Linked DNA regions of Elephas maximus indicus. The protein of the gene in region 1 interacts with the protein of each later gene in a pairwise test. Links are inferred from orthologs where the notes say so. Each region holds a gene or a part of one and is shown in the gene's direction. Other genes may lie near its edges.

Region 1 (7,374 bases):
TTTTACAGTCCCACCAATAATGTATGAGTGTTCTAGTTTTCTCCATATGCTCACCAACACTTGGAATTGTCAATGTTTATGATTTAGCCATTCTAGTGGGTGTGAATAGCAGTGGAACATTGTCTGATAGCAGTGGAACATTGTCTGATATAGTGCTGGAAGATGAGCCCCCAGGTTGGAAGGCACTCAAAAGATGACTGGGGAAGAGCTGCCTCCTCAAAGTAGAGTCAACCTTGATGACGTGGATGGAGTAAAGCTTTCGGGACCTTCATTTGCTGATGTGGCACGACACAAAATGAAAAGAAGCAGCTGCAAACAGCCATTAATAATCTGAACCTGGAATGTACGAAGTATGAATCTAGGAAAATTGGAAATCGTCAAAAATGAAATGGAATGCATAAACATCGATAATCCTAGGCATTAGTTAGCTGAAATGGACTGGTATTGGCCATTTTGAGTTGGACAATCATATAGTCTACTATGCTGGGAATGACAACTCGAAGAGGAATGGTGTTGCATTCATTGTCAAAAAGAACATTCCAAGATCTATCCTGAAGTACAATGCTGTCAGTGATAGGATAACATCCATACACCTACAAGGAAGACCAGTTAATATGACTATTATTCAAATTTACCTACCAACCGCTAGGGCCAAAGATGAAGAAATAGAAGATTTTTATCAGCTGCTGCAGTCTGAAATTGATCGAACATGCAATCAAGATGCATTTATAATTACTGCGATTGGAATGGGAAAGTTGGAAACAAAGAAGAAGGATCAGTAGTTGGAAAACATGGCCTTGGTGATAGAAACAATGCCAGAGATCAAATGATAGAATTTCGCAAGACCAGCGACTTCTTCATTGCAAATACCTTCTTTCACCAACATAAACGGTGACTGTACACATGGACCTCGCCAGATGAAACACACAGAAATCAAATTGACTACATCTGTGGAAAGAGACGATGGAAAAGCTCAATATCATCAGTCAGAACAAAGCCAGGGGCCGACTGTGGAACAGACCATCAATTGCTCATATGCAAGTTCAAGCTGAAACTGAAGAAAATCAGAGCAAGTCCACGAGAGCCAAAATATGAACTTGAGTATATCCCACCTGAATTTAGAGACCATCTCAAGAATAGATTTGATGCATTGAACACTAGTGACCGAAGACCAGATGAGTTGTGGAATGACATCAAGGACATCATCCATGAAGAAAGCAAGAAGTCACTGAAAAGACAGGAAAGCAAGAAAAGACCAAGATGGATGTCAGAGGAGACTCTGAAACTTGCTCTTGAGCGTCGAGCAGCTAAAGCAAAAGGCAGAACTGATGAAGTAAAAGAACTGAACAGAAGATTTCAAAGGGCGGTTCGAGAAAACAAAGTAAAGTATTATAATGACATGTGCAAAGAGCTGGAGATGGAAAACCAAAAGGGAAGAACACGCTTGGCGTTTCTCAAGCTGAAAGAACTGAAGAAAAAATTCAAGCCTCGAGTTGCAATAGTGAAGGATTCCATGGGAAAAATATTAAACGACTCAGGAAGCATCAAAAGAAGCTGGAAGGAATACACAGAGTCAATATACCAAAAAGAATTAGTCGATATTCAACTATTTCGAGAGGTGGCATATAATCAGGAACCTATGGTACTGAAGGAAGAAATCCAAGCTGCTCTGAAGGCATTGGCAAAAAACAAGGCTCCAGGAATTGACGGAATATCAATTGAGATGTTTCAACAAGCAGATGCAGCACTGGAGGTACTCACTTGTCTATGCCAAGAAATATGGAAGACAGGTTCCTGGCCAACTGACTGGAGGAGATCCATATTTAAGCCTATTCCCAAGAACGGTGATCCAACCGAATGTGGAAATTATAGAACAATATCATTAATATCACACGCAAGAAAATTTTGCTGAAGATCATTCAAAAACGGCTGTAGCAGTATATCGACAGGGAACTGCCAGAAATTCAGGCTGGTTTTAGAAGAGGACATGGAACCAAGGATATCATTGCTGATGTCAGATGGATCCTGGCTGGAAGCAGAGAATACCAAAAGGATGTTTACCTGTGTTTTATGGACTATGCAAAGGCATTCGACTGTGTGGATCATAACAAACTATGGATAACACTGCGAAGAATGGGAATTCCAGAACGCTTAATTGTGCTCATGAGGAACCTGTACATAAACCAAGAGGCAGTTGTTCAGACAGAACAAGGGGATACTGATTGGTTTAAGGTCAGGAACGGTGTGCGTCAGGGTTGTATTCTTTCACTATACCTATTTAATCTGTATACTGAGCAAATAATCCGAGAAGCTGGACTATATGAAGAAGAACAGGGCATCAGGATTGGAGGAAGACTCGTTAACAACCTGCGTTATGCAGATGACACAACCTTGCTTGCTGAAAGTGAAGAGGATTTGAAGCACTTACTAATGAAGATCAAAGACCACAGCCTTCAGTATGGATTAAACCTCAACATAAAGAAAACAAAAATCCTCACAACTGGACCAATAAGCAACATCATGATAAACGGAGAAAAGATTGAAGTTGTCCAGGATTTCATTTTGCTTGGATCCACAATCAACAGCCATGGAAGCAGCAGTCAAGAAATCAAAAGACGCATTGCATTGGGTAAATCTGCTGCAAAGGACCTCTTCAAAGTGTTGAAGAGCAAAGATGTCACCCTGAAGACTAAGGTGCGCCTGACCCAAGCCATGGTATTTTCAATCGCATCATATGCATGTGAAAGCTGGGCAATGAATAAGGAAGACCAAAGAAGAGTTGATACCTTTGAATTGTGGTGTTGGTGAAGAATATTGAATATACCATGGACTGCCAAAAGAATGAACAAATCTGTCTTGGAAGAAGTGCGGCCAGAATGCTCCTTAGAGGCAAGGATGGCGAGACTGCGTCTTACATACTTTGGACATGTTGTCAGGAGGCATCAGTCCCTGGAGAAGGACATCATGCTTGGCAGAGTACAGGGTCGGCAGAAAAGAGGAAGACCCTCAACTAGGTGGATTGACACAGTGGCTGCAACAATAAGCTCAAGCATAACAACGATTGTAAGGATGGCGCAGGACCAGGCAGTGTTTCGTTCTGTTGTGCATAGGGTCGCTATGAGTCGGAACCAACTCGATGGCACCTAACAACAACAACAAGAAGTGGGTGTGTAGTGGTATCTTGTTGTGACTTTAGTTTGTATTTCCCTAATTATTAATGAGGTTCTTGGATGGTACAAACAGTTTGTGCTCAACTACTAAAGACTGATGACTTGAACCCAGCAGCAGCACTGCAGAATAAAGGCTTAGGGATCAGCTTTCGTAGAAATTTCAGCCAAGAAAACGTGACGGAGCAGCTCTATTCTGTAACGCATGGGGTTGCTCTAAGTCAAAATTAACTCAACAGCAATGGGTTTGATTTTGTGGTTTTAATTGTTAATGATGCTGATGATATGAGCTTCTTATGCTGTGCTTATTTGCCATTCATATATTTTCTTTGGTAAAGTGTCTTCCCATCTCTTAATTAGATCTTTATTTTTGTACTGAGTTTTAAGGATTCTTTATTCTAGATACAAGACCTTTGTCAGGTAAATGATTTGCAAACATTTTCTCCTGTGGCTTTTCTTTTCTTAGCAGTGTCTTTTGAAGAGCAAAAGTTTTTAATTTTGATGAAGTGCAATTTGTCATATTTTTCTTACATCATTCAGATGTCATAGCTAAGAAATCTGCCTAATCTAAGGTCATAAAAATTTTCTATATTTTATTCCAAAAGTTTTGTAATTTTTGTGCTTACATTTCAGTAAGAGCTAATTTTGAGTAAATTTTTGTGCAGGTTATAGTAAATCAGAGTAAGTTTGAAGACTGTCTTTTTGGATTTCCACCGTAGGAAGTGAAGATGAACATCACAGGAATGTCAGGAAAGGAAAAGAGGACTAAAAAGTAGGGTGGGAATAGAAATTTTGAAAAAAGGGTAAAGAAGAGTCAGAGGGGACTAAAAATTCCTTAAGGGGGAAAGGGGCCTAGGGAGTGCAAGCCTGGATGAGTAGGGGTATTTGGGATGAAAGTGTGCGGGGAGGAGGCGGGAGCTCGGCCAGGGGAAGGTGTGAGGAGACCCTAGAGACAGCAGACGTCGCTAGGGATTGCCACTGGAGACCCGGCCAAATCCTAAGAACTATGAGGACCCGGAACTAGTCGGGGAGAACTAGGACGCCAGCCAAGACCCGCCCCGGAGGCTTAGAAATGCGGCACACAGACGGCAAGGCTAGGGGGACCGGACCATGCCCACCCTCTGCGGCGGAACCAATTATGACGGCGGTCAGGTTTCTGGCCGGCGCTACAAAAGTGCCACACGCGGAGGGCGGTGCGCGCCGACGTGACGCGGCCGCGCGGGATGGGCAGGGCCAAGGCCGAGGCGGTGGCGGCGAGGGCGACAGCGAGAGGCAGTGGCGCGACGACTGCCCCCCAGCCCGACCACCATGAGCACCAAGCAGGTCACTTGCAGGTCCGTGCGCGGCGCCGCGGCACAGGCCGCCCGTGGCCCGAAGGGTGGCCAGCGCCCCCCGGCGGGCGCCGCGGAATCCGGGGGCGCCCCTTCCCGGCCCCGAGCAGCCGCAGCGCCCTAGCCCTGCGGCCGGAGCAGCGAGCCCAGGGCCGAGTAGAGTCGTGGGCCTTCCGAGCGGGTTAGCGCGCTGTCGGAGCCCGAGCCCGGGCCGCGGCGGGTGCGGGCCCGTGTCCCCCGGCCGAGCTCGGAGCCGCGGGCGCGGCGGGGCAGGCTGCGCAGCGGGCTTGGGCGCCTGCGGCTGGGAGGAGGCCGGCTGGGCCGGAGCGGGCCGGGGGTGGGACGCGGTCTCCTGGCGCCTGCAGTGTCGCTGGGAAGGGAGATTTGAAACTGAGTGAAGGGCTCTGGTGGTTTCCTAACGAGGGCACCACGCCGCGGTGGGTGGTTACGCGATTGAAGATCCTCGAAGAATCTGGGGGACCCAGAGCCCCTTCGCTTCCCGTCAGCCAGCCTTTGACTTTCTAGCTGAAAAGCTGAAGATTTAGTTGGAAGGACACGGATGTAACCTGAACTGGCATAGAATTAGTAAAAATTGTGCAGAAAATAACACAGGGAGCGTTTACCGAAAACCTGTTAAGCATCCCGCATGTTACCAAGCCTTTTATATACGTTGTCACTAGAGCTCACAGCGAGGCACATTTGCTTCCATTTTACGGTGCGTGAAACTGAGGCTGAAAGAGATTGACTGATGCCCTCATCTTACTGAGAGACCCATTTACTGGAGAAATGCTCGCGACAGCAATGGATGATTTAGTGTAGAAAATTCAAAACCAGATGGCTAAGGTCTGATTGCTGCTGTGAAATGGAAACAGCTTGGTTGCGTAACACTCTTACTCCTTCGTTAGCTTGTAGCTTAACGGTATTGGAACCCCAGTCCTGTTGAATTGTATGCTTGGAAGATACAAATTTATTTTAATAATTGATATTAGCAATACCTGTTTGGGAAACATTGCTAAAAAAAAAAAAAAAAGCTGTATAGTTTGGTTATGTAATAAACAGTTCATTTACATATAATCGATAGTGTTACTTCTCTTCATTAGTATGAATAATTGATAAGTGACTGTTTAAAGCTTTCTGTTAGCATTAGTGTGTATAAACTGTTCATCCAGTTTATCCAAGGCCCAGGTGGCTTTTGTTAAGCAGTTGTTAGACATTTGATGAATTTAGTGTCCATAGAAAAGACTTTTGCTAGGTTATTTGTACTAGAAGGTCTTTTTTTGATCTCTGCATATATATTATTTGCGTATATTTTTTCTCCTGTTGGAGGGAATGCTCCTATGTCTTTGCGTACTAAAAAGCAAATACTAGCTTGCTACGTAGGAAGTTTTATCTATTCCTCCATCTACTTTTATGGTTTAATTCTACCATTCTTGAACCCAGTCTACAGCTCGTAAAATGTCTGCAAAAGAGGGCACCTTTATGTAATGCTTTATAAGTGAATCACAACTCCTTATAGTATCTAATTTTAAAGATAAGGAAAGCTTACACCCAGAAGTACTTGAAACTTGCCCCAAATTTTACACTGAAGTGCAGAATTAAGAATTTAAATCAGGATCATCTTGTTTTATTCCTTCTACACCCCAAGATGGCCTGACCTGAGAACTTTAATCCTGTATTTCCCAAACAGGGGCATCCTATAGAATATTGTTACATGTAAACTAAGAGTAGGTTGGAATGTTGGGAAAAGATCTCCATTTAGGGGGCTGATGTATGTTCTGGGTGCTTTTTAGGTGCTCTACCAGCCATGTCTCACGTAATCCAGAACCAACACCATTCCACAGATCGCACAAAAATCCACTCAGTGGCAGAGGTGTGACATTAGAGTCCATGCTCTCATAAACTATATGGCCTCCAAATAAGTTTGGGAAATGCTAAGTTAAAGCTTCTGACTGTAGGATTTTTCTAAGGTTTTAATATGGTCATGTGAAGGGAAAACGCAAACATTTAGAAAGGAAAAGGTGTTTACTTGCAAAGGAGTATGAGGGAAGTCAGACCTCAGAAGCACTTCCTTGCCAAATAAACATAACAAGTATTTTAAAAAAAAATCTGCAAAATTACCAAGAGTACCAAGTTTTGTTTTGTTTTAATAATATTGTGTTTTGGGTGAAAGTTTACACAGCAGATTAGGATCCCATTTAACAAAAATTGGTCCAGTGACATTGGTTACATTCTTCACAACGTGTCAGCATTCTCATTTCCATTCTGTTCCGTTTCCATTAATCTAGCTCTCATGCCCCTGCTTCTAATCTTTGCATTAGGGTAAATGTTGACGGTTTGTTCTCATACAGTGGATTATGTAAGGGAGTACAGTACTCACGGGTAATATTGTTTATTTTATAAGCCAGTCTATTATTTGAATGAAAGGAAGTGGGGTACCTTTAATCTGTGTTACTCTATCTGAGCAGACTTCCAGTTGCCTCTTCTACTTCCAGACCCGTATACTCTGTGTTTTAAAACTCTTTAATCAGGCAAGCAAATGCACAGAAATGGGAATAGACACAGGGGTCTTCATCCCAATGCCAGTGCCCTGTTCATTATTGGACTGTCCCAGTATATTTATTACATTCAGCTCTGCAAGGTGAACTTTACTGCCTGCTTCATCACAAACTAGCTTTTTTTTTTTAAACCTCTTAAGTGAGATTTTTCAGTCATAAAGCTAGCTTTAGTGTGATGGTATTTGATTGGCCAACAGCCAAGTAGACCGAGTGCAGTCTATTCTAATGAGGATGAATGGGATGATGTTAAGCAGATGACAAGTTAGCTTAGGAAGTCTCTTTTGTTATAATTGCAGTAATTTTTCAACCAGTGCTTGGATT
Region 2 (6,960 bases), on another chromosome or scaffold:
TTTTCCACCTGGGGTTTTACTCTGTCCACTCCCTTTATTCCTTCTCTTGAAGCCATCCCTCCGACTTGTGCACACAAACCACTTGACTTATGCACTTTTTTCCCTCCTTCTGCACCAACCCCCATTCCTCTCCCTGGAATACCCTCCCCTCCCTCTAATGACTCGCCCTTTACTACTCAGCCTGTGAGACTAGCCACCAAGGTTAAGTCTTCCACATGCCACATACTCTACCAGGTGCTGGGGATGCTGCAAGTCAGAAAGAAGCCAGTCCCTGTTCTCAGGGCACTCCCAAGAGAGCCTTGAGGAATTCAAATAACTGCAAATTGAGCTGAGTGCTATGAAGGAGCAGCATACCCTACACTACCATGAGCCATGAAACAAAGTAACCTGACCTAGACCTGAGCATCACAGAGGGCTTCCTTGAAGAGGCAACACCAGCTGAGGCTGGAAGGAAGCTTAGATTTAATAAGAGAAGAGGAGTGGGATATCACAGGCCTTCCAGACAGAAGAATAGTGTGTATAAAAGTTCTATGTGAGAAAGAACTGATGGGTGGGAGGAGGAGAAGAGGGCCAGCATGGCTACAAAACACAGCTTGGGGCATTCCAGAGCCAGCCACACTGGATCTGGATGGTGACAGTAGAGATTTTGATCTTAAAGTACAAGAGGAAGCCACCTGCCTACAGAACTTTAGCAGACAGCAAGCAGGCCCTCTAGTCCTGGTGACCTTTCCCTCACCTACCACTTCCAACAGCCCTGACCTCAGCATCCAAGAGAAGACCTGTCATACCCCCAATGGTCCCTAAGTGCTGATGTGGGGATGGGGGGAGGCCTCTGATCCTGGAGAAATGGTCACTCCAGTGAGGTAACAGGCCTTTGGCAGGGAGGCATGAGGAGCTCTTTTCAACTGTGTGATCCTGTGGACTCCCTCCAGTAAAGGAATGGTGATCAGAATCCTAGAGAGACCACTCTTAGAAGAGCCTCTCCAAGGGCATTCTTACCTTGTGTGGAGTGGAGGTGGTACTCATGGGCTTAAGAGGTGGGAGAACGGGGGTAGTCAAAAGGCTCAGAGACGGGGTAAGACTAAGTTGAACTAGGGCCAGAAGCGGTAGGCCCAGTGAAGAAGGCTTTGCCAACAGAGCAGTGGGCTAGGAGGAGAGAGGGAGGTAGACAGAGCAGGAAGAAGGCTCTTGCATGCAGAGAGCTCTAAGTCTGGCGGGGGGAGGGGGGCCTCCAACAGGCTTTCCACCTCTGTGGGATTAAGAAAAAATGATCATTGAGAGGAGCCCTTCCCTGGGCAAGGACAAGGCCCACCCCAAACTGGTGAATGCAGACTTCTCGTGGGAGGAATGTAGCTAATTTTCAGCCTTGTAGAGCTGAGATGTCACACTGCTACAAGGGACCAGCCTGGAGTCACAGGCAGGACACTAGGGCCCCTTTGCTGGCCAAGAGCAAATCCACAAATTCTTCCCAAGGAATGAGAAGTCTAGGTAGGGTCCCTAACCCAGGCCAGGCACGTATACCCGGTAAGCAAGCATGGATGGGGCTCAACCCAGGTGGGTGCTGAGCTGGAAAAGCAGCTGCTCCACCTCCATCCCCTCCCCAAATTACACCCCAAGTGGTCCCCAAGGTTGGGGCAACTCCCTCAGCTCAGGATTGTCCTTCAGTGGCCATTGAAAAGTACTAGCATCCCTTTTCTTAAAACAGGAAGGAAGGGGGTGAGGAAAACTCCAGAGGAAAAGCCCAAATCCTACAGGGACTGATCGTCTGAGAAGTGAACCGTATACTCCATTTCTCCCTCTCCTCCAACTGACATTCCCCTGGGCTCCATGGGCTCTGTGGCAAAACAAGAATTTCTCCCTCACCTCCACAGGAGGGCGCTGCTAGAATCAGCTCATAGAGTAAGGGATGAGGGAGACCAGCCAAAAGCAGAAGGCACCTTTGGAAGTCCGGGTCTCCAGAAAGAGGAAAGAGGAGGTATGGATGCGGGGGAGGATGTGGGAGAGGTGCTCTGGAGAGGCAGAGCCTCCTGGAAAGGGGCTGGGCAGTGCAGAAAGGTCCCATCCTTGAGCACATGGGAGTGGGGGGCAGGGGGGGCCTCATTTTAAACCCAGACTCCCCAGTCCTACCTCAAGGTTGCAGATTTCCACAGGGGCTCCCTGGGCAAAGTTAAACAGCAGGATGAGGTGTTTTTGATTTTAGGCGGGGAGAGGGATGTAATAATGTAACTTATGATGTTCCCAGGGGAAGTGGGGAAGCCCTTGCATAGCACACCAGAGACTCACTGGAGTAACTCACCTCTCCATTTGTGAGAAGCACCTATGGGGCCAGGATGGCCTGACCCAAATCACGGGCAGCGAACTGGATATTGGGGTTGGTGAAAGCATGGGGCTCCCACGACCGCAGAAGAAAGAAAACATGTGGGTCAGGGGAGAGTTCAGTGTTGCAATAGTGAAAGGACAACCATTTGGGGGTGCCAGGGAGACAGGTGATGTCCACACCTGGGGCCCTAGGAGGACAGGCATCAGGCTGGGGAGGAGGAGGGGGCAGCCAGGACAGGGCCAAATGCCCAAAGGAAGCTGCAGGGGAATCTTCACTGGACCAGGTCTGGTGGCCACAAGGGATGGGTCCTGGCCTTCACAACATGGGGCTGCCACTGCCTCCTTCCCTGACTTTTGCCATCCTCTTTCCAAGCCTTCCAGCACGTGTTGCCAAGATCCTTCCCTAAATCCTTGAGGCACTATGTGAACTGCCCCCACCTCCATCCCACTGCTCTGTCCTTAGTTTCTCCAATAACTCTTTCTCTGACACTCTAGCTCAGGACCTTTGCACTAACTCTTTATTCCAAATGAAACATTCTTCCTCATATGCCTTCCCTCTGACTGGCACATTGTTCCCCCATCTCTCCACATGGCCCTCTCCCAGATCTAATTTCCTGTCTCCAATGTCCCACTCAACCACCCATCACCACCAAAGAATGTAAGCGCCAAGAAGGGGGTCCTCGTTTCTTTGCAGCTGTATCACCAAGACCTAAAACACGACGTGGTGCCCAAGGGATGTGAACTAAATAAGTTACACAGATTAATTCTATCAGGCATTGTTCTGGGCGCTTTACCTTTCTTGACTCGATTACTCTCCATAACACCAGGTGAGGTAGGCACTATCATTTCCAATCGTATTTCAGAGAAGAGACTAACGTTAAAGCATATTACAAATAGAAAGTAAATATGTATGTTGTTGGGTGCCATCCAGTCCGTTCCGACTCAGCGACCCTATATGACAGAGTAGAACTGCCCCCATAGGACTTCCAAGGAGCAGCTGGTGGATTTGAACTGCTGACCCTTTGGTTAGCAACCGAGCTCTTAACCACTATGTCACCAGGGCTCCAAATACTATATACAATCCCCCCTTTATTTTGTACAGGTGATAACGGCTGCGGTCCTCCCGATCTACTTCCCTGAGCGGCGTTCTGGCATGAAAATATGTTAGGGTTTGAGAGTTCACCTGAGCATGGTTCGAAAGTTTATGTTTCTTTAATACGGCTTTTTTCCCCCAAATTGCCCACAGGTACTCACAGTTGGGATCTCGAAATTAAGTACCCGCTTCATTGTCCTCTGAACTACCAAGCGGAAAGGGCGGGGCTCGCGTTGTGCCACCTAGCGGACGGTGAAGCCGTAAGGCGATCCTCATGGGAATGTGCCGTACATTTCAACTCTTTCACGTCTAAGAAATCACACCCCAGCAAAGGTTTAAGGAACCTCTTTAAATATTCGGTCGTGATAGTTTCAGAGTGTATTCGTGCGGAGCTGTCAAATTATGTTGCGTGGCGGAGGGGACGTGTCGTGCGATTTCAACAGCTGTTTCGGCTACATGGCGCTGCCATCTTAAGCAGAAGTGAATCATGGGAGCCACCATTTTGGTCGGGCGGGCGGGTATTTCCGGTTCCGGCAGTGGGTTCCTCGATCTTTTTCTACGCAGGGCCGCGGCGAGAGCGCCGGTGCTGCTGGTCTCTCTGAGCTATCTGGTGCCATCCTCGTCGCTGCGGCGACCCTCGCACCCGCCGCCGTCATGACTGAGCAAATGACCCTTCGTGGCACCCTCAAGGGCCACAACGGATGGGTTACCCAGATCGCTACCACTCCACAGTTCCCGGACATGATACTGTCTGCCTCGCGAGGTACGTACTGAGGTGCAGGAGGAGGGTTGCGCGCCTTACGAGGCTGGGCTGTGGTGCGCGAGTCGCGGGTCCGAAAGACTCCGCCGGGGTTTGAGGGGGGACATGTGACCCGGCTGAGCCCGGTAAGGCATTCCCATCATTGCTAATGAAGTACCGAGGAACAGCCTGTGGCCGCCAGGAGGGTGGGAGGTTTCTTTATAGCCTTCACGCTTCTGCACGGTGTAGCTAGTTGTGCCCACGAGCCTACAGGCCTGGCGGAGCGGTGATGATTACAACATGCCATCTGAGCATAGGTGCTGAGACCCAGAGGCTGTTTCTGAGCTGTCGCCCGGCCCTCGGCTCTTTTGGGAATTGGTGGTCTCCAGGGGAGCTCCATGGCACAAACCTGGATTTGACCGGCACCTACTCTATGCCCTGGCTTCTCTTCCTCTCATTCTCGGTCGGCCTGAGTGCGTTTGGAGGCTTCCTGTGCTTTCCAAATGCTCCCACACTGGGAGTTTTTTGAAGCTAGGATTAGGGCTGGCCCTTAATTGTAAAGTTTATAGTGTAGGACACGTTTTAGTGAAATCATCCAACCCTGTAGCGTGCAGAACAACTTTCCAACACTGATTCACTTCTGGCAATCCTCAAAAATAGTCCCGGTGCCCACGACGAGTCCTCTACACCCAGGCTGCTCTGTTTCTGCATTAGACCTCAGATAGGACACGAAAGGGTTATTGAATTGATCTCAGTCTCAGCCCCTAGCAAAATTCTGAACCCCTGATTTACATTTGTATGAAAGACTTTTTAGTTTTATCTCTCTATTCCAGCAAGTAACTTCTTACTAGCGTATAGTTTACCTCCTTGTCAAGCTTCTCTGTAATTTGTCATCTTGTAAACCCATGACCTCGAGACATTTTGGATTATCCAGTAATCAGCAAGGTAGCTGCAGAGTTCAGACTGGCAGGATGGCTAGTATAGAGGAGGGCAGAGTTTCTCAATGGGTTTACTTTTTGTTTTATCTCTCCTTAGATAAGACTATCATCATGTGGAAGCTGACTAGGGATGAGACCAACTATGGCATCCCCCAGCGTGCTCTGCGTGGCCACTCTCACTTTGTTAGTGACGTGGTTATCTCCTCTGATGGCCAGTTTGCCCTCTCTGGCTCCTGGGATGGGACACTGCGCCTCTGGGATCTCACAACGCAAGTACCTGCTCGCTTAGCTTTGGGGCCTTGGGGGGAAAGCTGGGCAGAAATGAGGAAAATGGCTGAGTCCTCCCTCCTTGGTTGATTCAGACTCAGAGAGACCCTAGAAGACAGTAGAACTGCCCCATAGGGTTTCCAAGGCTATAAATCTTTACAGAAGCAGACAGCCACATCTTTCTCCTGTGGAGTGGCTGGTGGGTTCAAACCACCAACCTTTGGTTAGCAGCCAAGCGTTATAACAACAGTGCCATGTGGGCAATTTGAATTGAGTGAAGCAGTTAGGAGTACACACAGTGGTTTGAAAATGTTTGGCCTTGGTAGCTCTGTCCTGGGTGTTGGTCAGCTGGTGACAATTATAATGGAGCATCCTGGTGATGACAGATGACATTGTCAGCTGATCCCCATGTGGGAGTGAGGACATGTCCTGCAATTCTGAGGGATTCTCTGGCATATACTCAGACAAAAGCTTGCTGTGGTCAGAGCCATAGCTTGGGTTATCTGAGTAAAGAAAATCCCCTGGGGACAGGGACAAGGCCCGGAAAATGATGTGACTGTGGTAGGAGAAAGTTTGCAAGGTGTCTGTAGAGAGTGACCAGGTCCTCCTTCTCAGGGGCACCACCACACGACGATTTGTGGGCCATACTAAGGATGTGCTGAGTGTGGCCTTCTCTTCTGACAACCGGCAAATTGTCTCTGGCTCCCGAGATAAAACCATCAAGCTGTGGAATACTCTGGGTGTCTGCAAGTACACTGTACAGGTAAAGTGAAGGCATGGGGGAAAGAGTGCATCTTTGAGGTTCATTCCCGCTCTTCCTCTTAAACGTTAATCACGTGTGGTGGTTTCAAGTATTGTCTGGCATCTAAAAGTTTCGGGACGAGAATATAAGACTGCTAGCATCCATCTCACATAGCTGAGAGGAGGAATAGTGGTCTAGAGTTTCATGGGCCAGAATGTTTCCCCTTATTTCTCTGTCTCCTGTAGGATGAGAGCCACTCGGAGTGGGTGTCTTGCGTCCGCTTCTCCCCCAACAGCAGCAACCCCATCATCGTTTCCTGTGGCTGGGATAAGTTGGTCAAGGTGAGCTTGGAACCAGGGCCACAAGGCCTTTACCAGCCAGAAACTGCTCCCATTGCATCTAGATGGTCATAGGCTCCAACTCGGAAACCTTTGCAGATTCTCTCCTGAGACATTTCTGTCCAGCATGCCTTTCATCCTAACCAACCACCTGGAGTTAGGTCAGATCTCACAAGCTAAATGTTAGTGTTCTCTAGATGCCAGGTCTTCCCGAGACTTCGTGCTGGTCACAAGCTTGGGAGTCCCCTGTGACACCCTCACTTCTGACCTGATAGCTACAAATCTGGGATCTTCCCACTACCTTGGGTTTGATAATTCACTATAATGACTCACAGAAAGTGTTACACTTACTGGGTTACAGCTTCATTAGGGCAGCATCTGGATACTGGATAGCGTTGCCAACATGGAGCTTCCGGCCCCAAAAGGGACACTACCCACCCGTGTCCATCACTGTCTTTTGCCAACCAGGAAGCCCTTGGAGCTTCCCTGACTAGAGTCTTTTGGGGACCTCGTTACATAGGCAT

The links. The genes of interacting proteins can lie anywhere in the genome.
Region 2: the proteins of MKRN2 (region 1) and RACK1 interact in binary tests that used the Homo sapiens proteins (3 or more experiments, as listed by UniProt). The two-hybrid records come from large-scale screens. The link is inferred for Elephas maximus indicus from reciprocal best matches to the Homo sapiens genes MKRN2 and RACK1.

The regions. Positions count from the first base shown.
Region 1 is NC_064838.1:37,723,390-37,730,763, forward strand, and holds the start of MKRN2 (E3 ubiquitin-protein ligase makorin-2), read left to right. Parts: upstream 1-4,370; 5' UTR 4,371-4,475; coding exon 4,476-4,501; intron 4,502-7,374. UniProt on the Homo sapiens protein: E3 ubiquitin ligase catalyzing the covalent attachment of ubiquitin moieties onto substrate proteins.
Region 2 is NC_064820.1:199,936,281-199,943,240, forward strand, and holds the start of RACK1 (receptor of activated protein C kinase 1), read left to right. Parts: upstream 1-4,014; 5' UTR 4,015-4,066; coding exon 4,067-4,175; intron 4,176-4,431; exon of another isoform or gene 4,432-4,499; intron 4,500-5,186; coding exon 5,187-5,358; intron 5,359-5,726; exon of another isoform or gene 5,727-5,802; intron 5,803-5,971; coding exon 5,972-6,119; intron 6,120-6,343; coding exon 6,344-6,439; intron 6,440-6,960. Other genes in the region: uncharacterized protein LOC126067361, read left to right, coding at 1,872-1,975, 3,566-4,014. UniProt on the Homo sapiens protein: Scaffolding protein involved in the recruitment, assembly and/or regulation of a variety of signaling molecules. Interacts with a wide variety of proteins and plays a role in many cellular processes.